Linked DNA regions of Lonchura striata. The protein of the gene in region 1 interacts with the protein of each later gene in a biochemical or structural test. Links are inferred from orthologs where the notes say so. Each region holds a gene or a part of one and is shown in the gene's direction. Other genes may lie near its edges.

Region 1 (7,862 bases):
CAAATTTGGCATCATAATTGCACCACGCACATGCTCATCTGACTTTCATGCTTTAATATCCATAGAGCTGAATCAGCACAGAAAATGAACATTCTTGTTGACAAAAACTGCTAGTGACTTGACAGGGATATATTTTTCATCTAGATCAAATAGTAGTTTTGCTGAGGAAAAAGAAGGAGGTACACTCTATATGCATACTAATAAATAACCTGTAGTGGTTTTCAGAGATTCTGTTGCTTAGGTCTGTGAAAAAAGCATAAAGAATTTTATGTTGTCAGGATTATTCTTGTAAAATAGCTCTTATTTTCTGGAAGGATTTCAAGAGAAGAGAAAAATCTTTAACTGAAAGAAAACTATGTTGTTTCTATGAAGATAAAAAAGTGCCAAACAATGACATGCTATACAAAATCCTGAAGACCAGAAGATTTTGTGGGGGACTTCAGTCTATTTATCTTGGTGTAAGTTACTGAAGTGTTCTATGCTCTTGTGAATCCCACATGACTGTGCAATGAAAACTTAGCATATCATTATTCAACAAAGCACTCCAGGTTTTCACTGGGAATCATATGTAGTACTAAACTCAAGGCTTTCCAACTCCCTACACAAAGCTGCAACAACTTAAAATGGATTGATGCAGGGACTCGGCATTTTGCTCCGTGACTTAGAACTGAGATTAAAAGCACTTCTAATTCAAAGGAAATGTGGATTAGCTTGGGAATTGTTTAAGTGAAAATGTCAGAGAAGCTGTTGAAGAAATAATGGGAGATGAAGAATTGGCCAAGTTGGAATATGAAGAAAGTTACCTTTTATCTAGTATTTCTTAAAAACTAACTGCTGCCTAACACACTGACCTTGGCTTCACTCCAGATGTGAAAGGGGGTTGCCTACCTATTCTTCCTAACAGGAGACATAATGGTCACAGATGCATCAGCAAGGAAACACAGCACTGCTAAGGCTGTAACTGTGACCTAGTCATCCTCACTGAAGAGGAGAAGCCCACAGCTACACAGAAGGGCCTGATGATCTTTGGAATTTGAAACAGATAAAGTGGAACCCAATGGCATCCCCAAACCTGTTTTTTTCCACTGTCTTCTAATGGCACTTGGCAAATTCAGCATTTTTTGTTGTTGTTGTTGTTGTTGTTCTGTTAAAAAAAAAAAGGCCAATGGAACAATCTTGTTTTGTCCACTTTCTCCTGTGATCTTATTCTTTCTGGTATCCACTGAATCAAAAGGGTCCTCAATAAGGTGAGTTTTGCTCAGATTAAAGAAGGATTTGTCTGCAAGCTTGATTTACAATAATTAAAGGAAAAACAAGTTGGACAGGATGCTGAAAATTGAGGCCTGGTAATACATGCAAACAGGGAGAAGCTGAAGCTGTTGTTGTTCATCTTAGTGCTTTGTTTTCCAGCAGCATAAGCTGAAGTGCTCCAAACAGGAACTAATAGTAATCTATTGGATGGATTAGATGGATATCTTGCTTTTGTTGAAGTTTTTTTTTTTTCTCTCCTAAAATGGAAAATATTTTTGGAAAACATTTCCATCTTGTTTCCCCCTTTCCTCTCAGATATATGAAGCATCTTGTATGGAATGCTGCTTGGTGTCCACGATGTTTGGTTGCTCCACCTGTCTTGAAGGCAGGTAGAATAGCATGCTCCAAATATAAAACTGGTTGGTCTCGGGCAAGCAGAACTGAAAAACCAGCACTGATGTACAAGTAACCTCTGTAAACCTTTAAACTAAAAGGCTGGGCTGCTTTTCACTCAAATCCCCAAGGGGCACTGCTGTAACAGGCAAACAAGGCAACCTCCATTCTTGGCTGGACCATCCATTCCTATGTTGGACCATCAGGAAGTAGCTGAAATGGACTGGTGAATCCAGCCTTTGGAGGCTGTTGATCACTTGGTCACACATGGCTCTGGAACACCATATTTGAAAAAACAAAATTTAAAGACAGGTTCAAGACAGCTGGTCTGCTCTCAGTATTTTTGTGCAAACTGTTTATTACCAGGCCACATCTACTGAGGTATTTTGCATAATAAACCTCTAAAAGTCTAACCTGACTCCACTGCTGTGGAGGATTAGACATGGTAATACTTCTCTACAGCCACTTCTGAGGATTAGCTTCAAAAATCAAATTAAAATGAAGCAAACACAAATAGTTCCACAATAAGTTGCAACACCCTTATTCAGTAACCATCATCTGCACCTCTTGCGTTTTATATTACCATATGAGGAATCTATGCAAAAGAATATACATACTGTGTGTGGTAAAGCTGAAAAACTCTGCATGGGCAGATCAACATATTAAGATTTTGAGGCCTTGTTTGCCCACACATTCCTAGTGAAGTAAAAAAACTATTTGGTTTTATTTATTTCCAAATACTGAGGAGAAAATACATGATTTTTACCTCACAATTTGAGGAAAAGGAGGTGAGAGTGGAAAGCATAATGTTCTCCAAGCAGAACTGTGTGCTTGTGACTTGCAGAACAGGTCACAGAACTGTGACTGCATGTCTTGTTTTTCATTCCGACACAAGCCATAATTTTTTTTTTCTCAAAGGTCAGTATTTAAATGTGCAGATTTGTTTTTTAAAAATGACCAGCAAGTGCAATGAAGTGTTTGCCTAAACAAGTATACTAAACTAAAATTTGCAAATCTGTTTCTGAGCAATGGCTATAAACAAGACCTATCCAGTAAATTTGAAATTCTCTTTGGGGTCAAATGCTAATAGACATTGAATTTAACACGTAAGAAAACTTGATTTACCAGATTAACAATTCCAGTTGTCTTAAATTAGCAGGGGAAATTACACACTGCCAACAGTATGTTTATGCTGTTCTTAATTTCTTTCATTATACAGAAAACGTGAATCACAAGTCTGATCAAAAATGTTAATATAAAGTCATATTAGAGGTCATTAATCTCAAATAATAATTACAAAATGTAAAACTGGAATACTGCCAAGTATCTAAATCTCCTGAGATGACAAACCATAATGAAGCTCAGAAAGTTTGTGAGCAATTTACAAGGCAGAGCATCATGTCTGTGGTGCAAAGATAGACACGCTGGTGATTTGGAGCCGTTTAATAGCATCCGTAATCCAAAACTGGAACAGCAAGGTGTTCTTCAGCAATATTCTTGACTAAGATGATAAGAATGAAAATCAAATCATTTGTAATTACACTTACTGAACATGCTGTTCAGTACAATTAAAAGAATAAGCAAAAAATGAAGACTACATAAGGAAGCTGCTAGGATTGGTTTAGCAGATCATAGCAAGATAACTGGACTTTAGAAGTACAAGGTATTGTTTACTCTTTTGCTTGCAAATATCAGTTTTAAAAAACAATGGCAGTTCTACAACTGTGCTATTTTTAATAATAATAAAAAACCTCCACTGCTCTCCTAATTCACTGCTGCCTGTTGTCAAGCTTCATACTGAAAATGTTGTTACACAGTAAGCTTTTCTGAATATACTGCCTTCTCCAGACCAATAATAATTAGTATCCTAGACAGCAAGACAACTAACACTATGGCACTAAAACGAACACAAATGGAGCCCAGTGCCATTATGTGGACATCCCCCTGGACGTCAAATGTCATGTTTGTCACTTATACATTCCATCCTTACAGAAGAAGGGCAGTCAGGCAATCTTGCTCTTGTTTCACGGAAATGGAGTAGGAGTCCTTCCCCTTGTAGAGAACAATGTATAAACCTGCACCATTTATTACGGTGCAAAAAAAAACCCACGTGGCTGAGAGTGATCTGTTGGCACATGCTGCACAAAATAAAAAGCCTCCAAGGAGCTGAAGTGCTACAGAGGGTACTATTGTATATAAAACAATTGTATCTCATCCTCTAGAACTACCTAAAAGATTGTCATGAGCTGCGGGTCAGTCTCTTCTAGACTGCCTGCTGTGAGGGGACTAGAGGAAATGCATTAAGGTGAGACAGGGTAGTTTCAAATTAGGTATTAATTTTTCTCAATGTTTAGGTGGTAAAGCATTGGAACAGGTTGTCCGGGAAGGTGGTAGAGTCACCATTCCTAGAGATGCTTAAGAGGTGTCTGTTAACTGGCACTGAGTGGTAAGGTTTAGGGGGTAATGCCACGTGATGGTTGGGCTTTATGATTTTAAAGGTCACTTCCAATTTTGATGATTATATGAATATATGATGCATCTGGCCCTTGGACTGACAATCCACGTCACCATTATCTTCCCTTTGGTGATGTTTTGTCCCCTGTACTGAGACACTTGGTTGGACGTCCTCGTGTATGCCGATACGCCACTAAAAGGAAGCGTCCAGGCCCCTTACCCCCACACCAGGCCTCCGCTCTTCCGGGGCAAGAGCAGAGCTTCAGCTTCGTCACTCGCACCGCAGCGAACGCTGCAAACCCCATGGCTCGGGGGCTCCCTCCCTGCTCCGTGCCCCGGCGCTGCCGGCCGGCCGTGCCTGTGGGAGCGGCTCCTTCCCGGGCCGGGCGGGCGGTGACCCCTCCGCGGCGCCGGCCGGCGGCTGACGCGCGGAGGAACACCGCGCCGCCGCGTCAGCGGGCGCACCTAGATCCGGCCGCTGCCGCCATTTCGCGGGGAGGCGGCCGGGGCGGACCCGCCGCTAGCGGTGCGCGCCCGCCACCGAGCCCCGCGCCCGCCGAGCTCCGGAGCCGCCGCGACCCCGGCAGCCGCGGGCAGGAAGAGGCGCACAGCGCTCCCGAGGCGGCGGCGCCCACGGGCAGCCCCAGAACCTTCCTTCCCCTGCCCCGCCCGTTCGCCCTTGGGCCCGCCCTCGGCCCCGCCCCCCGGAGCCGTTGGCGGCGGCGTGCCGGGCCCGGCCCCGCCTCCCTCCCTCCCGCGGCGTCCGGGCCTGGCCAGCGGCGGCAGCGCGGGGCTCTCCTGCCCTTCCTCTCTCGCTCTTCCCTGGGCGGGTGACGCCTCTCGGCTCTCCCCGCACTTCGCACCCTCTCCCGGCCGTGACGGGAGGCGGCGGGCGGAGCGCTCCCCCGGCAGCCTCACGGCCCCGCTGCCCGCAGGCAGGCAGGACTTGGGCGGCCGGCCGGTCGGGCGCCCCCCCGGCTGTTTCCGGAGGAAGGAGAAGAGCAGCTGCCCCCTCCCCCCTCTCCGCCTTCCTCCCGGTTCTCCTCCTCCTCCTCCTTCTCCTCCTCCTCCCTCCTCCCGGCCCCCCGAGCGGAGCGCGGAGTCACCGCGGCGCGTAGACGGGCCCGGCACTCGCACACACACAATGGCGCTGAAACGCATCAACAAGGTGAGTGAGCACCGCGGCTCCTCCTCCTCCGCCGTCCCCCCCCTTCACCGCTTCGCCCTTCTTTTTATTGTTATTTTTGGGGTGTTTTATCTTCTCCTTCTCCCATCGCTTTCCTCCCCCTCTCGCCCCTGGAGTCTCGGGCGGGGGGGGGTGGAGGGGAGAGGCGGAGGCTGAAGAGGCCGGGCAGCGGCGGCTCCTTCCGGCGGGGCCGCGGCCCGGCTGGGGCTGCGGGGCCGCTCTCTCCGGGCCCGAGCTCGGCCCCGGCCCCTTCCTGAGGGCGGGGGCCGGGGAGGTCGGAGAGAGGCAGCTCCCGGGGCCGCTCGGATGTCAGCGCAGCCCGGGGTCGCTGCCGGTGCCCTTAGGCCGAAGCCGGCCCGGATGGCGGCAGCCCGTGTGTGCCGAGAGGTTTGGGTGCGATGGAGGCGCTGCCCGGGCAGCAGCTGGGCCCCTCGGCCGGGTTCTCCCCTCTAGTGTGCAACTTCTCTCCCGCATTGTAAGATGGCGGCGGGTCCGCCTGGCCCGGGCGCTTTCCGGGATCCCTCGCGTTCCGCAATAACGCGGAACTGACACACGGAGCAGCCACCGCGGCGCTGCCCTCGCCCTGCAGCCGCCCCTCTCTGCCGCCCCGGGGCTCTCCGGGCACCCGGGAATCCATCGCCTGTCCGGGAATCGCTTCTCCCCGCGACCGGCCGGGAGCGCGCTGCGCGCCGCCGCCTCCCCCCGTTGCACAATCGGAGCCGGGTGGAGCAACTTCGCGGCGGCTAACTCGGAAAAAATGCCGAGGTGATGAAAGTTTGGTTTTCTTTTTTGTGTGTGGGGGGGGTTGTTTTTTAAGATACCTCTCCCAGGGCTAGAAAGCTCCCGGCGTGAAGTTGCCCCTAAGTGGGTTTAGGTTTTGTCGGCAGGTTTGAGAATTGCTGGGATGTAATGGCAAAATGCGATGGGTGCGCAGCGGCGGAACCGGGAAGTCGCTGTTGGTCTGTGCTCCTTCTTACGCGAGCTACGTGGAGCAGTTACGTGTTTCAAGAGCTCAGAGGAGTTTCTTGGTCATCTCATAGCCTGCCAAGATGGCAGAACGTCAGTGTGTCCTGAAATCGGTGAATTTCAGTGTACAAAACGCCTTTTGTAGACAGTGTGTAAACTTCATGCCGCCTCTTGGTCTCGCTTTAATTTCACACAGTGCTTGTGGTCGTATTTTAGACAAAACAAGCGTTTTTTATAACGTTTTTAGTGAATGGATAGTACTGTTACCCTCGAAAATTTTAAATCCCTTCTGTGTAGATAGCTGAATGGATTGTCTTTGAATTATGGCTGTGCTCTGGCAAGGATTTCAAAACAATTCCTTTAGAATCTGCCATCAAAACTTGTTCCCTGTGTTAGTGGATGATAGCACTTGAGTTGAAACACAGCTAGGATACTCCCTGGTATGCTTTGTCATCAGCTCATGCTTATGAAACACGTTCAGGCACTGCAGGTAGGAATTTATTGTCAAATGTAAACCAAGACAAACCCCCACTTATGTAGTAATCTGGTGGTCAGAACCTGGAAACGATTCAGCGTGACTCTTGAGCCAGTAAGTCATCTCTGACTATAGCGTTTTGGCCTGTTGTGTACACTTTTGTATTGGTCCTTAATCTCCATTGCGCTGTGTAGTAGCAAGGTTCTTCCTTTATCCAGTGCAAGAGTTTACGGTTGGGAACATAGCTGAGCTAGGGTTTTTTAGGGCAAGAGTTTAGGATTGGGAAGATAGTTAGCTCTGTTAGTTTTTAATTTTTGCCTCCTTTTTTTGTATGTGTTTGTTTGGGGTTTTTATCAGTTTAATCACACCACATTACAAGATAGACTTCTAAATTCACGTGGAGTTTGTAGTTCTGATTTTTGTATTTGCAAACCTGGAAGATGACCTTAATTTGTGGAATGAAGCCAATCTTTGCATGTTGCTTTCTTCCTCTATTGGTTTCCAGTATAAATGTTTACAGAGGCTGCTGCTGACATAAAAAAAAAAACAGTAGGGCCAGTTCTATAACAAAATGGTTGTGAATGTAATTTTAATCCTGTCAACCAGTAAAATCCAGAGAGAGCGGTGTTGTCACTGATAAACTAGGATTCCCTGTCTTCCAATTGTAAGATCACAGATCAAACCTTGGAATTCTCTGCTTCCTTGTAGTATGTCTTTATCAGTAGATGAGAACAGGCTAAAGATAAACCAGGACCTCAGAACATTGTAATCACCATAGCTGATTTAGTTTGTGCTATTACTTGTCAGAACTAGAATTCATTGTCTCCTGCAGCAGATGACATCCTGAATGTACCAGTGAAGATATTTTCAGTCAGTTTGGTTGACTCCCTCTTTGTGGACTTGACATATCAAGCAAAATAACATTTTTCATTATATTGAGTAAACTAGACTTGAGACTCTGTTAGAGTGTGTGTGTGTGTATCTTTAATTTGAAGTCTGTTACACATTCAGAATGCAACCACTCGTAAGACATAACTGGCAAATTCTACTTCTGATTTGAAAATGAATGTAAATTAGTATTTATGTATTGGGTTGTCTACTTCTGGAACACCCTGTATAAAGCACTCCCCAAACAGA
Region 2 (7,868 bases), on another chromosome or scaffold:
CGGCTCCCGCAGGCGGAGGACGTGACCTCGCTGGTGTTCTCCGCCCGCCGGCCCAGCACGCTGTACACGTCCCACGGAGAAACCATCAGCGTGCTGGATGTCCGCTCCCTGCAGGAGCCCCTGCAGCGCTTCCAGGTGAACGAGGAGGAGATCAACTGCCTCTCGGTGAACGACGCCGACAGCTTCCTGGCTGCGGCGGATGACTCGGGGGCCATAAAGGTTGTGGACTTGGAAAGCAAGAAAGTCAGCCGGTCCTTGAGGCACTCCAACATCTGCTCGTCTGTTGCCTTCCGACCTCAGCGGCCTCAAAGCCTGGTTTCCTGTGGACTGGACATGCAGGTGATTTGCATACATGTGTACGGCTATTAATGAAGTGAAACAGTAATTACCCACCTATGTAGTGAAGCAGCCGCAGACTTTCACTGAGCACGAAGGTGTTCTCAGCCTGCAGTCACCGGAAAGCTCCCTCGCTATTCTGAAGTATTTTGGCCCAAAACTTAAGTGTTGGGACTGCTTGTGCTATGTTCCACTCAGCAGCTTCTGGCCCTGTTTTTATCTTCTTTAACATTTATAATTCAAAAGTGAGTGGGGTGAGGGGAAATCAGAATACACTGCAAAGCTCACTTGTGCTGTATTTGCTCTTTGTTGGACTGAGCAAAACCAGTAGCTGCCATTAGGGATCAGTTGTGGCTGCAGATAAGATGCAAATGATGGTGAGGAAAAGGCACAGTGTTTGAGGCAGGCAGGTAGAGCAGCATCTTTCCAAGTGGAACATATCACTGTGAGAACAAGTGATTTGTATAATTTATCCGTTGTTCTGTTAGCATCTTGGGAGCATGAAATGTTCTTTGCCTTTTAAATTTTTCTATCCTCATCAAGAGGAAACTTTGCCCCTTGCATTCTGAGACCCATGCTGGGAGTTAAGCCCAGAACAGATATTTTTCAGTAATTTCTTTCCAGTAGTTGAGGTCTGACCACATTCCTGGTTTAGCCCAGTATGAAAACTGTCACTTCTCAAAGGTTTCTGTGGTTCCAGCGGTGTCAGGGTGAAGTCTGTGTGACAGGTTTGAGCAGTTTCAGCCTGTGTTCTTGAAACCAAAGTACATCTCACAACCCATTAGAGCAAGTACATGCTGATATTTAGTATAAACTATTTTTCTGTGTTAAAGCCATGATGATCGATCCTGTTTCAGAGGAGTAAACTCTCAGTCCCTCAGCTGGCTTAATTCTGGTCCCTAAAATGCAGATACACAAGCTTGTGGCTGGAAACTTTTTATCAGAATTGTAAACGTTTATGTACAAGGAGGTACAAGGGAGCTGATTATTTTTTGTGACTTTTTAGTATTAGGTTCATTGATTGTAGCTCAGCAAGTTGTTTTTTTAGGTGAAAGTCAGTATCCCAAAACAGGATTTAATTAGTGTGCTTTTGTACAGTGAAAAGACCATCATTCTGCATTCTGCATTCTGCATTCTGCATTTAAGATACATCATTTCCCAAAGGGGAGCTTAGCTGCAGAACTCTGAAGTCCTGTGCTGCACCATGTCTTTGGACAAGTTATGAGCGCTACAAAACATATTCTGGGCTTGTCAAACCCTCGGGGAAGTCATGTCTGATGAAAATTGAAATTGAGGTTGCTGGAGTTCTTTCAGGAGTTCCAATAAAGCAGAGAAAGTGCCATGAGGACAGAAAATACTTAGTTTGCAGAAAACTCTTCAGCAGTTGATGGATTCATCAGGTTGTTGCCGTGCTGTTTGTGATGAAAACAGGAGTATTTTCTGTAAGCATCACCCAGCTCCTCTGATTTAGAGCAAATCACAGTTGTGGAAGTAGTTTTAGTGCAGCAGCAACAGCAGTAACTGAAACAGGAAAGTGACAGGAAATATATTTCAGATGTTTTAGTGTGATTTGGATTCCGGAAATGCAGAGCCAGGCTTTTTTGTGAACTAAATTTAAAGGCTCTGGTACTTCTTATTGGTGATTACTACTAAAGGAATATTTTTATTAATAACAAATTGAAGCTTAGCTTTATGAAGCAAACAGTACACCAGTGCTGCATTAGAATGACTTGGGCTTTTCAATCTGTTGGCCTTGAGAATTCTCATTGTCAATTCAGATCCTACAAAAGTCTTGAGAGCATTATTTTTAATTGGCTCAGTATAAATATGTAGTGCTTGAACTGCTGTACAAGAGACGTGGGATTCTTCACTGGGGGCTTGGAGGTGGGGTGGCATTGGAAAAGGAAGTCTAAAAGCACAACCTGCCCCATCTCAGTAGGTTAAGCATGCCCTACTCCATAGCACAAACCAGATCTACTCACTGGATATAAAAATAAATACAAATATGCCTGTTTAAAGACCACAGCCTTAACTGCTGTTTTTGCCTTTTGCTGTCCCATTTTTAAGACACATTCATGGCAGTGACTATTACAGGCCAAGTAGCAGAGACAGAAATCCAGAATGATAATGATCTCTATTCACTGCTAGGGTTTCCGTGTCCCTCCTTCTCAATAATTGATGTGCAGTACATCATGATTGCTACTGCTGGAATAAATGCAAAAGCTTTTAGAGCAGTGTTAGCATCTCTTCCATGGTCTAAAGGTGTGAGTCATTGACTGCAGAGTGTGGTGGTGGGGCTTTGGAAAGCAGGCCAGAAAGATTTGCTACATTTATTAGGGCAAGTTTAACCACACGCCTTACAGTTCTTGGAGTCACACACAACCTTTGCTCTGCTAGGAGAAGTGTGGTTGCTTATTTTACCGTTAAAGATCCGATTTGAAGTAAAACACACAAATAATTTCTTTATCCTATTGGTATTTTTTCCAGGTGATGCTGTGGAACCTGCAGAAAGTTCGTCCCTTGTGGACCACAAACCTGCAGGAGTGTGACATGGAGGAGGAGAGCCTGCAGTCAGCCGGGCAGTTCTTCAACCCGCCGCTCGCGCATTCCCTGTCCGTCGCCTCTTGCGGCAACGTCTTCGGCTGTGGAGCTCAGGACGGTAAAGTCCGAATATTCCGAGTCACAGGTGCCAGGTTTGAACGGGAGCTGGAGTTCCAGGCTCACAGCTTGGGAGTCTCACAGGTGCTCTTTATGCCTGAGGCATACCAGTTGTTGTCTGGAGGAAACGATGGGAAAGTCTTGCTCTGGGATGTCAGCAGTAATATTGGGAAGCAGCAAAAAAGTCCAGCAAAATCTCTGCACAGGAGGAAGGCCCAAGCAGCTGCTTCCAGCAGGAAAGATGGGAAGCTCAACAAAGCAGCCTCAAATGAACACCCTGGAGTTGTGCCAAAGCTCAGCATTGAACACGGAGAGAAGGTGAACTGGCTCTTGTTTGCAGAGCTCAAGGGCTCCAGGAGAGTGTTGGTTGCTGACCAGACCAGCTCAGTATCAGCCTATCCATTGCCAGAACCTTAAGGCAGCCAGGGGCTTACAGAAGTCTGGGGGATAAAACCACTTCTCAGAGCCAGTTACTTCCACTGACAGTGAACTGGACAGTGAACCCCTCTGGGTCCTTGGGAAGGGAAAGGGATTTGCTGTGCACTCATGATGTCCCTGGCCTCGTGCTGGTTCCTTGTGGCTGTTATGTTCACAGCTACTCTCTCTTGCAGGGTTGGAATTTTGCTGCTTGGATTTAAGTGAAACGGGTCTCTATATTTAGGGGTAACATTAGTTCATGGCTAAGCTGACGTAATTAAGGCTGGAGGAGAAAATTAGTGCTCAGGAGACACCCACAATGCTAAGTGAGGCTGCTGAACAGTAGCAGGGCTGTCATTGGCTCAGCCCTATGTGGTTTGGGCTGTTGCAGTGCTCTGTGCGAGTTCTCCCATGAAGCTGTGTCCCAGTTGGCTTGAACTGGTCATGGTGGGATCTGGTTTTCATCACTCTGTCAGCAGCTGCATAGACTAGATGCATCAATTAATGAGTAATCAAATGAGTTTCCCTGTGGTTGCCAACTGAGTTTTTTCACTGCAGCAAAAGAAGGAGCAGGGGAACTGTTACACCTGTTTGCTGGGTCAGCTGTCAGTTAGTTGTGTATCCCAGGGAAAAGAACTATTACACTTGGCTTAATAAATGCTTTCTCTCTCACTGTTCCCTTGTCCTTAGAATCACTCTAATAGTGCCAGACTCACACAAAATTGTGTCAAAAAGTTTATTTACCCCGATAGCAGGGTGAATATGAAGGGCCAGAGGCACAGCTTCTCCTTACCCAAATAGTTCCTGTCTTCCTAAAGCTTTGAAACACAATGAGTAGAACTTGGCTTGCTAGAAGCTTCATTTGCAAATTGAAGGTAGGAAAACCTAAGTGGAAATGTTACATCTCCAGACATGTTCAGTTCATGCTCAATTTCCCATGAAGTGAGCAAATAACTCTTTTAAAAGGGTTTTTTTTCCTGGGCTGTCCTTATCCTGTCACAGAACTGAATTCCTAGTACTGGCTGAGGACATGCTGCACTGGTGGTAGGTTTGGGTTTGTGCTGCTGTGTTTACCAACTGGGCTGTTACCAGACTCATACTATATTGGAAAAATTTCCAGTTCTATTTTTTTACATACAAAACTCTGGAAAATCATTATCTGGTTGTGCTGCCTCTGTTCACCCTTTATGGAAGAGATTCCAACTGTCTTGGTTTTGCTCAAAGCAGCTCCCTGCAACCAAACACAACTCATTCTCATCCAAATCAGATTTTACCTTTGTACCTTTTTAATTAAAACAAAAAACAAAGGCAATCTGCTTGTACAGCCTTTCCCAGCAGGAGACTTTGGCCCAAGACATGATCTGGTGGGCGCATCAGCAAATCAAAGCCAAAACACAGCAATAAAAAAAAAAAAAGGCATAAAATTGTACTTGTTCCTTTTTGTGTTACCTGTGCATGAGTTCATGTGTGAAGACATGGGATCAGTGGGGCAGAGGAAGGGGTCGGGTCGGGCTGTGTGGTTCAGTGTGTGACACATCCATGAACGTGTGTTGGTGCATCCATGACCTATATTTGGATATACAGGCTATAAAAAGCCTTGGAACAAACAACCTCCTGCAGGACTCGGATCCCCTGTCCCTGCTGTTGCTGCCGGCTACAGGAGAGAGGAGCGAGCCCGCTCCAGCTTTTATTTCTTCTCTTGGTGTTCTCCAGGAAGATGGCGAAAGCCAGCATCTCCCTGCGCTCCCTGAACGAGACGCTGAACAGGTCCTGCAGGGCTGGGGAGGGACAGGGAGGGCACGGAGGGCTGGGGCATGGGACAGCTAACACGGGACACCAGGCTAACCTGTGCTTCTCTGGAAACTGCTGTGGGCAACTGGCTGTGAACGGACAGCGGGAGGAAAGAGGGACCGAGCCATCAGCTCCACGGTGGTGTTATTCCCTCCCTGCCATCCTGGCAGTTTGGTGCAGGATTTGGGCAGTTGCTCCATCATCCCTGGCCTGCAGCTGCATGAATTGTCACCAGGCAATGAGGGTACTTGGTCTGTTCAGCATGGAGGACACTGAGGGGAGACCTCGTTGAGGTTTACAACTTCTTCATGAGGGGGAAGGAGGGACAGACACTGATCTCTGTGGTGCCCAGTGACAGGACCTGAGGGAATGGCCTTAAGTTGCATAAGGGGAGGTTTTTGTTGGATATTAGAAAAACATTCTTCTCCCAGAGGGTGGTCAGGCACTGAAGAGGCTTCTCAGGGAATGTCACAGCACCAAAGCTCCCAGAGCTTAAGAAGCATTCAGACAATGCTCTCACAGGGTGGGATTGCTGGGGGGTACAGGAGTGCAGGGCCAGGAGTTGGATCCTTGTGAATCCAACTCAGGATATTCTGTGGTTCTGTGAAATTCAGGCTTGCTGTTCTAATTAGAGATTTCAGGTGAACTTCTGATTTTCAGATCATGCCTCAGAGTCTGGAGAGTGGTTATCATGAGCAAAAAAGAACCCCAAGAATGGACCTTTCTTAAAAGTTTTAGGAAAGCAAATCACCATCACTGGGGAATCAGGTCATAGGTGATGCTGATTCACCCTCCATTTCCAAAGCCTGCACTTGGCAGAGGAATGTGACCAACAGGTTCATAGACTTCCTGAAAAATAATCTGGCCTCAGCTGCCCCCGCTGGCACCAGTTCCTGCTCGGCTGTGCAGCAGCAGGCACCAGTGGTGGTGGCTCAGGGCAGATACAAAGATACGAGCATGGATCTTCAGGAAAAACAGTCAAAAAAGGGTCAGAAATTCTCAGCAGTTAGAGGTAGGAAGGATACTGTCCCCACACTCTGGATTTTCACGTTCCTGAAAGGGAGGTGAGGCCCTGGCACAGGCTGCCCAGAGAAGCTGTAGCTTCCCTGGATCCCTGGAAATGCCCAAGGCCAGGTTGGATGGGGTTTGGAGCAACCTGGGATAGTGGAAGGTGTCCCTGCCCATGGCAGGGGGTGGAATGAGTTGGGCTTTAAGGTCCTTCCACTCAACCATTCTGGGATTCTAGGATATTTTACATTTAAAGGCAAACTATGCAGTGTTGAGACTTTTAAAAGTCAAATCAGGTGTCATACATACACCTGTGGTTTACCTGCAGTGAAAAGGATCCCTGTTGAGAGTATCACAGCTGATGGGATGCAGTACTTCTGCTTAGGAAATGAGTGATTATGTGTTGACAGACAGACAGCTGACAGACTTGGAAAGAAACTGCTCTTGTCGAGGTACTGCTCCTAACTGTTAGTTCATCCACAGCCTTTATAACTCTGATTCACATGATGGTGAACACAAAAGTAGCTATTGGAGACCGGACCAGAAGGAGAAACAGTGAAACAACTCCTAAAAGAAAAAAGTGAAAATTAATTCTGTGGGAATCTACTTGAAGAAGTGTGTGTCTAATGTACCATGGAGTGAGTGAATGGGGAAGGCTTGGAGAAGTGTGGGATGCTGCACTGGCCTGGAAAATCAAACCCATGTGACAGCTCTAAAATATCATTTTCTGTAAATGCCTGAATAGCAGAAATAAGGTCTCACAAAGAACCACACTTCCAGAGAAGTGGGAATGCTGGAGCTTCTACTGTATGGCTTCCAAATATGTTCTGTGTGCTAACAAGAGAGGAATTTTAAAAGCTTTCTGGTAAAGAATGGGGATGTGGTTTGTCTGTACACTAGTCAGAGTTAGAGGTCGCTGACTTAGTGGTAACTTCACTTACACTAAAGGAAAAAGTGTTCAGAGGTCATGATGGAAATGAAAATGGGAGGTTTAATCCATTCTTCCTCTTTTCATTCCAAACTTAGATCAAGAGGCAGCAGCACTCAGTCTATCAGAATTCAGTTACAGCTGTGGGAGATCAGTTATGGATCTACCATGGTATAACTGAACAGACATTTTTAGATCCAAAATTGGCAAATGCTTAAATGTTTATTGCAGGTGCTTGAAAACACAGAAGATTAATTTACAGAAAGGCAGTAAAAAATGTTTGAGAGATAAAACTGGTCAAATAGTAAAGCATTGGACTGAAGCCTGCTGAGAAACCACTGCTGCACTGAGAGTAGCATTAGTGATGAGATCTTAGATAACTTTACTCCTACTTGTAGAGGAGGAAGTTGGAGAATGGGCCGTGTGGAAGCTTATTTACCTTGACAAAAAGCTGCAAACCAACAATTCACCGGCAAGAACACTCATTATCTGACAAACCAGCTCTGGAAGTCATTCACAGCAAAGCCCAACTCACCTCACCTCAGTTTCTGCACTTCCTCTCTCAGTGCTGACAGATTCGATCCAATTATGACACATCAATCCTTCGGGTTTTTCTGAACTCCCTACATTTCTACATGACACCAGCTTAGTTTCCAATTAAAAGTTCAATTTTCATCCCAAAATTCTTGCTGAAGCAAGAGGAGTCCTGCCACAGTAAGATGAGCTCCAC
Region 3 (7,207 bases), on another chromosome or scaffold:
GGGTGGCTCAGCTGTGAAGCTCTGGCTGAAGAAGGCTGGATTGGATTCCCAAATCCAGCAGCAAGGCTGTCATCCAAAATGATCTGCAGGGTGATGTGGATCCCAGCGAGCTGTCTCATCTTGAAAGGATGTGTTGTTCAGTGATACCAGCCTGCACTGGAGCATGGGGCTCTTGTCAGCAGCGCTGATGATACTTGCTTGTCTCTCTCACAGGATCAGCCCTGCACAGAGTGAAACCTCTGAAATGGAACTGTATAAAGATACAATTTCCTGCAAAATCTTGGCTTCTGAAAGCGAAAGGAGGATCAGTGAGAGATCGGTTCTGTTAATCTGAGAATATTTTGAGAATTTGGGGGATGGTACTGGCTCAGGAACCTCTGGATCATAACATTCCAGTGGGATTTCTTGGTTGGGAAAGCAGCACTTTCTACCACCAGGGACTGCCAGCATCTTTGCTCCCCTACACCACCGCAGTTCCTGGTGCTCTGCCTGGCTTCCCTTCATCTGCCTGCAGATCTTGCACTGGTTCCTCTTGAACATACTCGGTTTAAATCCTTCCTGGCAGTTCTACACAGTGAAGGGAACAGCGAGTGAAAATCCTCATTTCCCAACAGAACTGGGAGATAGGACAGGACACAAACAGCTGTGGGACAGCCAAGGCACAGCCCTGAGAAAGGAGGGTGCAGCAGTTGGCATCTGGTGCCTCTGTGTGTCCGAGGGCAGCCTGGTCCAGGGTGTTCTCCCCACCTTAGGGACAAGACCCAACTGGGACCCAGCCCTGCCAGGCTGATGGGAGCTGGAGCCCTTCTTCTCCCCCTGCTGAATACACACCTACTATACAGGACTGTCCCATGTGATGCACTTGGCATGTATTTATAAAAGTGCTCAAGTCATGTTGGTTGTTTAAAAATTAAGTAAATAAAATCAAATATGGCACATATTAAAGAAAAGTGTACAGCAGTAGCAGCCATCCTGCAGACTGTACATTTTATATGCTGACCCAAATGCAGTGTCAGTTAATGCTCTAACACTTGCAATATATCACAATGCTTTCACTGAAAGGTGAGCAGTGTGTCCAAAAACCTTAGAAAAATTTATAGTTCAGCAAGTTCCTTTCTGAAAAGCAGTTTGAAACCAAGTATGCTTCATGACCTTTAAAAAACACTTTTAATGAAAGAATTTAAATGTTCATATAACTACTGAACAATGAAAGTATATTTAATCCCAAAGGGTTTTTTAAATATTGGCATTTCAATTAATGTCTGACATACTAGTTATCCATTAGAAAAAGATCATGTAGAAAGAATTCTGTATTTAATATAACATTAGGCACTTTTGTCAAATTATATCAGAATTATTGAATGTTAGGTCCAAAGTGCACTGCAAGACCCCAGAAATGAATAATCATCATGTTAGGAAAAATTTAGAAATATGTTAAGTATGTGAAAAGTAGTTTTGTTTTTTTTTTTTTTTTTTCCTGTTCAGTTTAGCAGTGGCCAGTTAATGTTGCAATATTTGCAAACCATCAATGATTCCTCATTACAAGCTCAACAAAAGAGGCAGTGTAGTTGTGATCCAAACAGCCAGTTGCATTATATACTTGGTTTGAGAAAAGAGTATGTGAATTTGTAACAGACTGAAAATTTAATAGTATGACCTTCAATTATAAATGTTTAATTTTCTTCCTCTTTTTTTTTTTTTTAATGCAAGAATCAGGACACCTGGAATGTCTTTGGGGTGTGCATGAATTTACATAACCATTACAAAATAACTTCTTAACTGTTTCAGTGCAATGTAAAGTCATAAAATCCATAGGTGTATTGTCCATGTTTTGTAGTAAATGCTGCTTAGACTTTAATTGTTTCAAATTCTCTTCTTTTTAACCAGTGGCAAAGCACTGGAAAGATGTTTTATGCTTTATCTTGTGCTCTGCCTGTGCTGTGAAAGAGGTTGGTGTCTAACATTTGCTAGTTTTGTGTTAAACAGCTGATGGCACAGGGGACAGGCACAGCCCTGGCCAAAGAAGGGACCCCAGGATTCCTCTGTTCCCTGCTGAAGTGACACTGGAACAGCAGTGCCACCACTGCAGGAAGCACTGGAAATCTCCACCTTGCACTTCAGACACTTTGGGAGGAATAGGAAGTCAATCCCCACGTACAGCATAGGAGAGGTCACTTTTTATGGATGGAAAGCTTTAAGAACCACATTGCACTTCAAGGCCTTCAGTGGAAAAAAAAAATCAGTCGCACACCCCAGGTTTGAATTAACGAGGCTCAGACTCTGAGCTCTGTCAGGATGGGACCATTCAAGACATGGTTACAGCTCAGCTCCAAGCGACTGCAGAGAAAACCTCCTGGGCTGTGTAGGAGCCACAGGATGAACTCAGTGAAGCACAGGTCATCTTCTCATCCAATGCTGGGGATCCATAGCTGGATCCTCACCTCTGACTACCCACATGATAATACTTCACAGGTTACCTCAGCAGGAAGAAGCCAGAGCAGTGACATGACCAAACGAGTAGAGTCTTAGTAAGGTTGTTAGTAAGAGTAGGTGTGTGATGTATTAGCTTAAACTTCTAAAGTAATCTAGACTGTGGTAACGTTCATAGCTTTCCTGGGAGCTTGTCTCACCCTTGAGGCCCCTCTGGCCCTGCAGAAAGCTGCCTATTACTCTGATGGAGGTCTCCTCATGGGAAGTGTGTTGCAGAGCTGGGAAAACTCTGGAAAGGGTCACCTTTCCCACAGGGTGGGAGTTAAATTAGGCAACACGGCATGGATGCAAGGCTTTAAAAAAAAAAAAATATTATTATTCTGCACATGGCAGTTCACAGAGCTCAACTGCTGATTTCTACACAGTGCAGATAAGAACCAAATTGGTCCAAAGTTTAACAGTTTCCAGGGCTGGTCTGTCACACCCTGTCCATGAGGAATATTGTCATGGATCGGCAGCACTCCTGCGTGGGACCACCCATTTCAGCCTGCCTCTGAATTCTCCTGCCATGTCTTTTCCCATTTGTACCCTCGGTTTTCCTGTCCCAACTCCCTACACAGCTTCTCTGCCACCCTCTCCTCCCCACCTTGGCTATTCACCCACATTCTTCCCGATCCCCAGCTCTCCCAGGCCATGGCCACTGTCCACATCCTTCCCAGTCCCCTACTTCCCCTCAGGCACAGCCATTCCCCACATCCTTCCCCATTTCCAGCCCTCCCAGGACACGGCCATCCCCCCATCCTTCCCGAGCCCCGCTCTCCCGGGACAGGTCCATCCCCCGCTCTCCCGGGACAGGTCCATCCCGCTCTCCCGGGACACGGCCATCCCGCTCTCCCGGGACAGGTCCATCCCGCTCTCCCGGGACAGGTCCATCCCCCGCTCTCCCGGGACAGGTCCATCCCCCGCTCTCCCGGGACAGGTCCATCCCGCTCTCCCGGGACAGGTCCATCCCCCGCTCTCCCGGGACAGGTCCATCCCCCGCTCTCCCGGGACAGGTCCATCCCCCGCTCTCCCGGGACAGGTCCATCCCCCGCTCTCCCGGGACAGGTCCATCCCGCTCTCCCGGGACAGGCCATCCCGCTCTCCCGGGACAGGTCCATCCCCCGCTCTCCCGGGACACGGCCATCCCGCTCTCCCAGGACAGGTCCATCCCGCTCTCCCGGGACAGGTCCATCCCCCGCTCTCCCGGGACAGGTCCATCCCCCGCTCTCCCGGGACACGGCCATCCCGCTCTCCCGGGACAGGTCCATCCCGCTCTCCCGGGACAGGTCCATCCCGCTCTCCCGGGACAGGTCCATCCCCCGCTCTCCCGGGACACGGCCATCCCGCTCTCCCGGGACAGGTCCATCCCGCTCTCCCGGGACACGGCCATTCCCCGCTCTCCCGGGACAGGTCCATCCCGCTCTCCCGGGACAGGTCCATCCCGCTCTCCCGGGACACGGCCATTCCCCCATCCTTGCCGAGCCCCGCTCTCCCGGGACAGGCCATCCCGCCGGCCTCCCGGCCAGCAGCGCCCGGCCGCCGCCGCCACCTGCCGCCGTTCCCCCGAGGCTGACCCGAGGCGGGGCGCGGGGGGCGGGCAGGGCCTCCCCGGGGCAGGAGGGAGGGACGGAGGGAGAGCAGAGGAGCCGAGCTCGCCGCCAGCCCGCCCGTCCGTGCGGCTCCGTCCCGGCTTTGTTGTGCTCGGGCCCGGGGGCGGGGAAGCGGAGGGAAGCGGAGGGAAGCGGGGAAGGCTCCGCTCCTCCTCCGCGGCCCCGGCCCCGCTCATGGCGACGCTGGGCACATCCGGGCCTCTCCTTCTCCTCCTCCTTCGGCGGCCGCCGCTGCCCTGAGCGCCCGGCCCGGCTCCATTCGCGCCTCCCCCGAGCCCTTGCGGAGCGGCGGCGGGGTGCCGCGGCCGGGGCCATGTCCAACCCGGGGGCCCGGCGGAACGGGCCCGTCAAGCTGCGGCTGACAGGTGAGGCTGGGCCGGGGCCGCGGGCCAGCCCGGGCGGGGGGCGGCAGCGGCTCCTCCGGGTGTCGTTGGGGCTGAGCCTGGGGCCGGAGCGGCCCCTCGGGCCTCGCAGGGAAGGGGAGGGCGAGGTTTCCCTGCCGTCCGTTCCCCTCGGCCCCGGGCTCGGCGTGTCCGGGCTCCGCCGCCCGCCCGGCCCGGGCCCCGCAGCCGCCTGGGGGAACTTCAGCCACCGCGCCCCAGCCTTGCAGTGTATTTTCCCTTCGTCTTCTCGGTGTAAACTCGAAAGAAACTGCCACGCTTTTTGTTTCGATCTCGTTGTTTGTTTATTGTTGTTGTTTTGTTGGGGTTTTTAAGCGATTTCCTCGGCTAAGGCTGTTGGGCACTGGAGAGGCTCCCAGGGCAGTGCTCAGAGCCCCAAGGCTGGCAGAGCTCAGGGAGCCTTTGGTCAACATTCTCAGGGACAGGGAGGGATTTTGGGGTGTCCTGTGCAGGGCCAGGAGCTGGGCTCGATCATCCTGGTGGGTCCCTTCCAACTCAGCATATTCTGTGATTGTTCACAGTTCTTGGGTGAACTGCCTTGTCCTGCCCTACTCCAGACCACTTGACCTCTGATATTTTAAAATACCATAAAAACGGTTCACCTGCATGCTGGGAAGGAAAAGAATCTGGTCTTAAATACTTAAAATTATGCCCTTTTCCATATAAAACCCCACGTAAACAGGTTTAGAGGAAAAAAAATACTGGAAATTCTGCTTGAGCTTTCTTTAAAAAAATTCAGGACACTTGAATCTAGCTCTTTTCTTCAAAGTATTGTTAAGTCCTCCAGCACATAAATGACACTGTGTGTCCTGAAGCATCAGTACACAAAGGTAAGCAATTAGAAGAGTATAGCTTTTCACTGTAAATATCCACCTTTATATAGTGTTTCTAAGCAGCTTGCAAAAGAAATATTTTTTTAAATATTAGAAGAGTTGTTATATTTACTTAAGGTGTGTGAGAAATATCTCCAGTTTAATACCTAATAAAGAGAGGTGTTTTCATACTGATCTTTCCAAGTATGTTATTTTCACAGAAAAAGTAAAATGTATCTGCTTCTGTTTTACTTTGGAATAACTTGGACTAGATTTGTTATCTAGTTTTCATGGAGATTCGTGAGTGTCTCTATATTACACTTGGAAATAAAACTCCTAAAATGAGCGTAGCTGGGACTGCTGCATGGAACAGTGCTGCCTTGTTTTTACTGAGTGTTTTGTAGCTTTCTCCTCAGGTTATTGCTGTATTGATGCAGTGCTTTAATACTTTCTTTCCCTGAGCAGTGAGTGCTCAGACTTGCTTATCTTTGAAACATAAAAAATGGTCTGTAACCTTATTTAAAATAATGGAAAATACTGTCTAGGGACTTGTCTTTCTCACCTCTGTGTTTTGTGTTCAAATTCATTTCATATTTTATTTTTATTGAGGAATAAGCATATAATGAAACTGTGCCTGTGACAATCTCAGTGTGGTGAGGGGAGTGTGATTGTGACCAGAAGCACGCTGTGGTTTTACGCACTGTGGTCAGCCCCCAAATGCAGCAGGTACAACCCTAAGGAATGTTTTTGTGTTTTTTGGGCATCTTGTATTTTGGGAAGGGAAAGTGCAGAGTATGGGATGAAGGCAAAAGTGTCTTTTTAGGACTGTTCCAGGGCTAGCAGCTCTGGCAGGCACTGAGTACCAGTTCCATTATTGGAAGCTTATAGGAAACATTGGCCTGTGTCTCCAGCTGAACAGCTTGAGGTATTTTCTGCTTTAGCTAATGGGGAGTTGTTTCACCTAAGGTCATTTGTTGTAAGGAAGCTTTACATGTTTAAGGAAAACAATGAATTTTATTAATTCAGCTGACATGTTGTCAGTTCTTGCCTAGGAATAGTTGTAAGTGTTCTGTGTGGTTTTGATTATTCTTTTTGATTGGAAAAGCAGTTTGGGGGCTCTTGAGTTCTAAAACTGTTTGGAATTAAAAGAATCTGTATATCCAGTGTTTCTAAAAGTTTATTCTCAAACTGACAAATGCTATTTAATCTTAATTTTCTTTGGCTCTATGAAACTAGCAGTCTTCTGTTTTGGCTTGAATGTTTATGGGATTAATTCTGCAATCATTGTTCAACGCTTATCTTTTCTGTTCAGTATCTCTAAATTAAATGGTATAGATTAAAAAATAGATTTCAAGAACTGGATTCAATTAGCAGTTTTTCAGGACATAAACATTAAAGGTTTAGATGGAAAACATTGTTTTGACTGACTGGATAAATGACAGGGTAATGTTTGATGTGAGTCCAAGAACTGATCTGGAGCTAGTGCCCAACTTCTCAGTCCATCTTGAGGAGCCAAATAAAATATTTAACCTAGGCCTCATTTTGCAAAAAAGGTTGACTCTTTGTTGAGACCTTAAGAAAGTTCTGAGAAATGTTTGGCATACCTTTACACTAAGTGTTTAACAGTTTATTTAGGTCTGGGTTCCACAACAGAGAAAAACCACAGCGGTGGCATACTTCTAGTAAGTTTTTATTTAGTTTACAGTGTATCTGTGTTATATATTTATTTAAAAAGTTTATTCTTTAGCAAAGGTTTGGCTGTTTGTTGCAAATAATTTTTAAAATCCAGGTGTCATGGCTTCTGATGATACTTCTAGCAGGAGGTGTAAATCCTTGTTTTTGATTAAAATATAGGCAGTATAATTTAAATTAGCTAAATTCCAGAATTGCACTAGTTTTCTGCGAAATTTAT
Region 4 (7,129 bases), on another chromosome or scaffold:
ACTAGCCAAGGATCACTGGTCAAACAGAATGAAACGCAAAACCAAAAGTAAATAAATAAATAAAATCACACTGATAGAGCAGAACTACAATAGCTCTAAGACAGCCAGTGATAAAGGTAATTCTCTTTATGTCAGGCAATAAGGACCACATGTTATTAGTAGGAAGATTTCAAGTATTTCCACTGCTTTAGGTAATTTTTTTTTTTAGAAAAAAAAGGAAAAAAAAGAAAAAGAGAGAGAAAAAAGGTATCATCAGTCTCAGGTAATGCTACAGAGATATTTTAACCTTTCAGCAAAGCTGTGCGAGGGACATTTGCAGCAAGGATTTGAACCAAGCTGTGCCGTGTGTGAGAACAGGGGTGCAGCTCCACATTAGGGCTGGGACTGAGATGCAATGGGCCAACAAGGGCAGGAGCTTTAATTTAATCTCAATTTCCCAGTGGCCAAACAGCCCCGGGGGAACGCGGCTGCCCCGGGGGCGGCCGGGCGGACACCGGGCCCAGGCAGCGAATAACGAATAATATAAACACTCGATTAGAGAATAACACAAACATAAAGGTACCGCAGGTGATATATATACACCCCTCCTGCTCGGCGCGGCCGCACCTGCGGCCCTGAAGGGAAAGCGCCGCCTCAGAGCGGGCGATGCTGCCGGCCCGCCGCTGTGGGCATGGCCCCACTCCCCCCGCCCGACCTGCAGCCGGATCCCACCCGCTACAAGCACCACCACAAAGGGAAAGGGGAGGCGGTGGGGCCGAGCCGAGCCGAGGCGAGCAGGGCCGAACCGGGCCGGGAGAAGCCGCGTTACCTCAGCGCCGCCGCCGCCGCCGCCCGGCCGCCATCTTAGGGCTGCGCTCCGCCCGCCGCCCTCAGCGCGGCCACGCCCCCGCGCGGCCACGCCCACACAGCACCGCGCCCGCTCATTGGCCACGCCTCGCCGTGACCACGCCCATGTAATACCACGCCCGCTCATTGGCCACGCCCCGCCATGACCACGCCCATGCAATACCACGCCCGCTCATTGGTCGCGCCCCACAGTGACCACGCCCACATAATATCACGCCCATTCCTCGGCCACGCCCACTCCCCGGCCATGACGCGAGCGCCGTGGGCGCTTAATGAGATTAATTAATTAATTAATCAATCAATGAATGACTTAAATTTCTGTTCGTTAATTAGGAATGAATTCCTGGCTGTGAAGGCGGACAGGCCCTGGCACAGCGTGCCCAGAGCAGCCTGGGACAGTGGGAGGTGTCCCCGCGGTGGCAATGAGATAAAGTAAAAATTTAACAAGAAAGAAATCTGGATTTAAGTAAAATGTGTTTTTTAGTCTAGTAACTACAGCACTAGCAAAACTACCTTAACTAAAAAAAAAAAAAATACAGATTTCCACACTAAAAAGATAAGAGACAAGAAAAACTCCTCAAACCTTAAAACAAACAAAACAGAGTGACCCAAGAATTCTTTCTGACAAAAACTAAATACAAGTGTAACTAACTGTAAGTATAACGCAAAATAAATAAAATAAATATACATAAACCTATTATAAGATTCTATGCATATAGAAGTTAGAGTAATAAAAAAAGATCAGGAGTTCTCAGGGGTGCACATGTCCATTAAAGAACAATGAGTCCCCACATGCATCCACAACACTGTGAATAAACACACCGTTCCCCACAAATCTTTATTATAATTGTGGGGTTTTAATCTTTCTCCGCGTTTCAGCATTGGATGGGACTTAAGCTCCTTCCAAAACAAACAATTCTGGGACTCTACAATTTATTGCTTGGCGTCCAGAAAAAAATGAGTAAAGCGCCCCTGTGGCCCTTGGGCGTGCCCTGGCTTGGTGTGACAGTGGCACAAGAGCTGTCGCCCCTCGCTGTTCCCTGTTCTGTGCCGTGGGTCCCTTTCCCCCTCAGGCTGCAGGGCTGGAAGTGCCCCCCATGCCCCGGGGCTGGGGGCGCAGGGCTCCCCCACCGTGGCAAAGCCACCACAGGGACATTTTGGGAGAAGCCAGGGCCACCGACTGCTCAGAGCCCTGCGAAGCCCCGGCAGAGGGAGATTCCTCCCTCAGTGGGCTCTCCGGGGTTAATTGGGAAGGATCCCGGGGGTGATTAGTGCCCGGCTCCTGCCTAAGCTGTCCCAAGCCAATTAGGGGCCAACGAGCCTCTTGTGGGTTCGGAAAGCTGCTTAGGGCATTACAGCCCCTCCGCTCCTGGGAGTCCCCTTCAGCGAGTCCAGCAGCGATTCATGAACCAATGCCATCAGGATAGGGTGCGACCCCCGCGCTGCCCTCCCGGGTGCCCACCAGCCCCGCCGTGCTGCCGGCGCCTCGCTGGCACAGCCCCGAGCGCCGCCCCGGGAACGATCCTGCCCCGTGTGCCCCGCGGCTCCCGGCGCGGCCACCCGCTCCACGCGTGAGCCGGGGCGGAGGGAGCCCAAAACACCCGCGTGGGGAGAGGAGGGGGTCCGTGCCCCCGGCACCGTGTGCTGTGCACCGCGTGTGACACATCCAGGGAGCTGGGCACCCATTTATTCATGTACCTGGTCATCCATTTATACATGTACCTGGGCATCCATTTATCCATGTGCCTCTTCATCCATTTATCCATGTACCTGTGCATCCATTTATCCATGTACCTGTGCATCCATTTATTAATATACCTGTGCATCCATTTATCCATGTACCTGTGCATCCACTTATCCATGTACCTGGTCACCCATTTGTACATGTACCTGGTCATCCATTTATCCATGTACCTGGGTACCCATTTATCCATGTACCTGTGCATCCATTTATCCATGTACCTGGGTACCCATTTATCGATGTACCTGTGCACCCATTTATCCATGTACCTGTGCATCCATTTATCCATGTACCTGGTCACCCATTTATCCATGTACCTGTGCATCCATTTATACATGTACCTGGTCACCCATTTATCCATGTACCTGTGCATCCATTTATACATGTACCTGGTCATCCATTTATACATGTACCTGGTCATCCATTTATACATGTACCTGTGCATCCATTTATCCATGTACCTGGGCATCCATTTATTAATATACCTGTGCATCCATTTATCCATGTACCTGTGCATCCACTTATCCATGTACCTGTGCATCCATTTATCCATGTACCTGTGCATCCACTTATCCATGTACCTGTGCATCCCTGCTCACCTGTGTGCTCACAGACACCTGCACCCCATACCTGCGCACCCAGGTGTCCCCCCACACCCCGTACCCGTGCACCCAGGTGCCCCCTGCACCCCATACCTGTGCAGGTACCCCCTGTACCCCGTACCTGTGCACCCAGGTGCCCCCCCACCCCGGTACCATCTCCTGCCCGCAGTCGCTGTGGGCACCGCCGCTGCCACCCCGTCCCCCCGTGGTGACCCCTGTGCCAGCCGCGCTGGCAGCTCTCCCCGCGGCCAGCGCTGGCCCCTGGCCAGCCCGGCGGGGATCGTGGCCGGGGCTGCTTCCAGCCAGGGCTGTGCTCACCCTCTGCCCCCCCAGCCGTTTCTGGGTCAGCGCTTGAACCCCAGCAGCGGAGCCAGCTGGGTCATGGCTGTGCCAGGGCCGTGCCAGGGCCGTGCCAGGGCAGCCTGAGCAGCCCCCTCTGGGTCTGGGCTCCCGGAGGAGCCCCCCAGCCCGTGCCTGGGGAGGGCACACCCCGCTGCGTGTGCCAGCCATGGGGGCTGCGTCCCTCCAGCGCACGGGGGGAGGCGTTTGCCCCCCAGATTTGCTCCTGTTTTGGGTGGGGAAAGGGACAAACTGTACGAGCCAGCCCTGCTGCGGATTTCTGGAACCGTCGCAATGTCCTCATGACCGCGGGGCTGGCGCTTGCTGCTCCGGGGTCTCGGGACGCGCAGCCGCTTGTTTACCCCGCGGCTCCCGCTCGGGCACGTCCGCGGCACGGGTGGGCAGCGCCTCCTGGACAGCCTGTGCCCATCTTGTTTACCGGCCCTTGCGGTGGCTCAGCACCGTGTGACAGCTGCTGTCCCCTGTCCCGGGACACCCGACACCGAGCCGCGACCGGCAAACGCGTGACGAGGCGGCGGCTTATAAATAGCGGGGCGAGGGGCGCCGGCGGCGAGAGCGCCGGGAGCAGAGCCCTGAGGAGCCCATGGATTTCCAAGGCGGTATCCTGCAGGATGGCAGCCCCATGGAGAGCCTGGAGAAGCAGCTCATCTGCCCCATCTGCCTGGAGATGTTCAGCAAGCCCGTGGTCATCCTGCCCTGCCAGCACAACCTGTGCCGCAAGTGCGCCAACGACGTCTTCCAGGTGAGCGGGGCCCCCGCGCCCGGCCCGGGGGGCACCGGGGTGTTGTGGGGGTACTGATGGACCCCCCGGGCTCATCTTCCCCTCCCAGGCTGCCAACCCGTACTGGCAGAGCCGCGGCAGTCTGATTTCGGGGGGCCGGTTCCGGTGCCCCTCGTGCCGCCACGAGGTGCTGCTGGACCGCCACGGCGTCTACGGGCTGCAGAGGAACCTGCTGGTGGAGAACATCATCGACATCTACAAGCAGGAGTGCTCCAGGTGGGCAGCGCGGCCATGGGCTTACGGGGACGTGGGGACACGGGGATGCCCCAGCCGTGCCCCGGCAGCAGCGCTGAGACCCCCAGAGATCGCACCTGGGGGTCTTCCTGCTCAGCCATCCCCGGTTCAGAGCTTTTCCTGACTCAAATCGCCATCAAAACCTCCCTCCCGTGACTCAAAACTTCCTCCTGCACCCAAAACTTCCTCCCCCAGCCCCATTCTCCCCTCTGCCCCAGCAGTTTGTGCCTCTGGCTGTCCCAGGGGGGTGGCAGGTCCCTGGGGGTGGTGCCAGCCGGGCACGTCCTCTGCCCCTCTTGCTGGAACATTGGCTGGCAGATAAGAGGTGTGGGGAAGGAATCCGGGCTCTGCTGCTGACAGCGGGCACCGGGGCTGATAAGGGGCAGAGGGACGGTTTGGGGGGGGCCCAGTGGGTACAAGGATGAAGCTGGGGGGGACAGAGGGGTCACGGGCTCTCGAGGCAGAGCGGTGGCCCCAGCCAGGTTCCCTGAACCGCTGTAAATATTGTGTGAGAGCCATGGGGACGGGGACGATGGCACGTGGCAGGTGTCCGTGGCTGCTGGGGGGGCCGGGGGGCCAGGCCTGTCCCTGTTTCAGGCTGCTGGCTTGTCCCCACGTCCCTCCCTGCTGTGGATGGGAGGACTGAGCTGCAGCCCCCGTCTGGGACCCCCGGCGGTTTCTGGGTGTCCCCACCCCGGTCACACGATGGGTGACAATAAATCCGGGCAGCACAGGGCTAAAATTAGGCCCTGGTGCAGCTCCTCTGGCTCGCAGCCCCCCCCGTCCCCGGTGCCACCCGCTGCCATGCCCAGCGCCACGGTGGCCTAAACTGGGACCTGCTGGGGTTTGCAGAGGTTGGTGGCTCCCAGAGGAGCAGCTGTGGGGTTGTGCCAGGGTCTGGCGTCTCTCCGATTTCGGGGTGACAGGTGGATGTGTCACCACGGTGGGGGTGATGCTGCAGTGGGGACACCGGGGTGGCGGGGGCCATCAGCCTGGTGCGGGTGTCACCGCGACGGCGATGTCACCGCGGCCGTGCCACCCTCTCCAGCAGGCCGCTGAAGAAGGGGGAGCACCCCATGTGCAAGGAGCACGAGGACGAGCGGATCAACATCTACTGCGTCACCTGCGAGGTCCCCACCTGCTCCATGTGCAAAGTCTTCGGTGCCCACAAGGACTGCGAGGTGGCCCCTCTGCAAAGCGTCTTCCAGGGACAGAAGGTGCCCTGGGGGGGGACCCGGGGGGGCTGCGGGCCATCTGCTGAGCTGGGACAGTGACAAATAACTCCGGGACTGCCTCACGGGGTATTAATAGCCCCCGGGTGACTTCGCCCAGGAGACAGACTATATTTAGAGTGGCTGCTGAGGGATGAGGGGGAGCAGGGCTGGGGACGAGCAATGGCCAGCCCGTCCCCAGGCTGGGATGGGAGAAGTTCCTGCCTCCACAGGAGTTAGAACTCCTTCTCTCTGTCGCTCACCAGACTGAGCTGAACAACTGCATCTCCATGCTGGTGGCGGGGAACGACCGGATCCAGACCATCATCTCCCAGCTGGAGGACTCCTGCCAGAGCACCGAGGTGAGGAAAGGGGGAGAGGCGTCGCTGTCGAGGCAGGACGGGAATGAGAAGACTGATCAGAAGGCTGCTGAGAGTAAAACTCGGATTTATTCAAAATACCCCGCTCTTTTATACAGAGCTTCGCAAGGATCAAATCCATTGGTTCTGAAGTGAAAACAAGCCACGCTATTGGTGTACAGTGCTTGACGCACAGTGATAGAACTTATCTATAAACAATGTGAAAAACAAGAGAGATAAAGAATTATTTACATTCTTTCCCAGCTCTTTCCCAGGCTTCTGCCTGGCTAGAAACTCTCAGTGTCTTTCTTTGACTGAATCTGAGACCCACAGAAAGGAGCCCCCCAAAACCTGACAGTGAAACCTCAGCCGGGCATGGGCGGCAGTGGGGTGGAGCCCGTGGAGCAGGGAAGCCCTGGGGTGTTGCAGGCGCTGGGGGGACGCAGAGGTGGCATCCCTTGTCCCCTGTCCCCGCAGGAGAACAGCGAGGCGGCCAAGCGGGAGCTCTGCGCTCGCTTCGACGCGCTGGCAGCGCTGCTGCAGGAGAAGAAGGCGGAGCTGCTGCAGCGCATCTCCCAGGAGCAGGCGGACAAGACCGCCTTCATCCAGAGCCTCATCTGCCAGTACAAGGAGCAGCTGGAGAAGTCCAGCCGGCTGGTGGAGACCGCCATCCAGGCAGCCGAGGAGACCGGGGGGGCCGCCTTCCTCATGGTGAGACCCCCAAACCTGCCCCGTGGCGTCCCACTGCTGGGGACGACCTGGTGGTTGCTGCTGCTTCACTCACCTCCTCCTCCTCCTCCTTCTTCTCCTCCCCCTTCTCTCCCTCCACAGAACGCCAAGCAGCTGATAAAAACGTAAGTGCTCAAACTGGGGGAATCTCCACGCTCCAGCCCCCACGGGCAGGATTTGGGGAGTGGGCGCTGCCCTGCCCCGCTGCCCCACGGTCCCCGCGGGGGGACAGGGACACGCACACACCGCTGCTCTCCCTGCCCAGC

What was found.
Region 2: the proteins of UBE2D3 (region 1) and RNF168 form a complex in vitro, tested with the Homo sapiens proteins (5 studies listed by BioGRID). The link is inferred for Lonchura striata from reciprocal best matches to the Homo sapiens genes UBE2D3 and RNF168.
Region 3: the proteins of UBE2D3 (region 1) and SMURF2 form a complex in vitro, tested with the Homo sapiens proteins (12 studies listed by BioGRID). The link is inferred for Lonchura striata from reciprocal best matches to the Homo sapiens genes UBE2D3 and SMURF2.
Region 4: the proteins of UBE2D3 (region 1) and TRIM63 form a complex in vitro, tested with the Homo sapiens proteins (5 studies listed by BioGRID). The link is inferred for Lonchura striata from reciprocal best matches to the Homo sapiens genes UBE2D3 and TRIM63.

Annotation. Positions count from the first base shown.
Region 1 is NC_134606.1:48,603,120-48,610,981, forward strand, and holds the start of UBE2D3 (ubiquitin-conjugating enzyme E2 D3), read left to right. Parts: upstream 1-4,844; 5' UTR 4,845-5,242; coding exon 5,243-5,266; intron 5,267-7,862. UniProt on the Homo sapiens protein: Accepts ubiquitin from the E1 complex and catalyzes its covalent attachment to other proteins. In vitro catalyzes 'Lys-11'-, as well as 'Lys-48'-linked polyubiquitination.
Region 2 is NC_134612.1:5,260,419-5,268,286, reverse strand, and holds the start of RNF168 (E3 ubiquitin-protein ligase RNF168), read left to right. Parts: upstream 1-4,863; 5' UTR 4,864-5,178; intron 5,179-7,868. Other genes in the region: WDR53 (WD repeat-containing protein 53), read left to right, coding at 1-339, 2,824-3,411. UniProt on the Homo sapiens protein: E3 ubiquitin-protein ligase required for accumulation of repair proteins to sites of DNA damage. Acts with UBE2N/UBC13 to amplify the RNF8-dependent histone ubiquitination.
Region 3 is NC_134621.1:8,494,048-8,501,254, reverse strand, and holds the start of SMURF2 (E3 ubiquitin-protein ligase SMURF2), read left to right. Parts: upstream 1-4,205; 5' UTR 4,206-4,395; coding exon 4,396-4,447; intron 4,448-7,207. UniProt on the Homo sapiens protein: E3 ubiquitin-protein ligase which accepts ubiquitin from an E2 ubiquitin-conjugating enzyme in the form of a thioester and then directly transfers the ubiquitin to targeted substrates.
Region 4 is NC_134628.1:397,322-404,450, forward strand, and holds the start of TRIM63 (E3 ubiquitin-protein ligase TRIM63), read left to right. Parts: upstream 1-4,113; 5' UTR 4,114-4,132; coding exon 4,133-4,291; intron 4,292-4,379; coding exon 4,380-4,546; intron 4,547-5,612; coding exon 5,613-5,781; intron 5,782-6,041; coding exon 6,042-6,137; intron 6,138-6,611; coding exon 6,612-6,845; intron 6,846-6,965; coding exon 6,966-6,988; intron 6,989-7,128; coding exon 7,129-7,129. UniProt on the Homo sapiens protein: E3 ubiquitin ligase. Mediates the ubiquitination and subsequent proteasomal degradation of CKM, GMEB1 and HIBADH.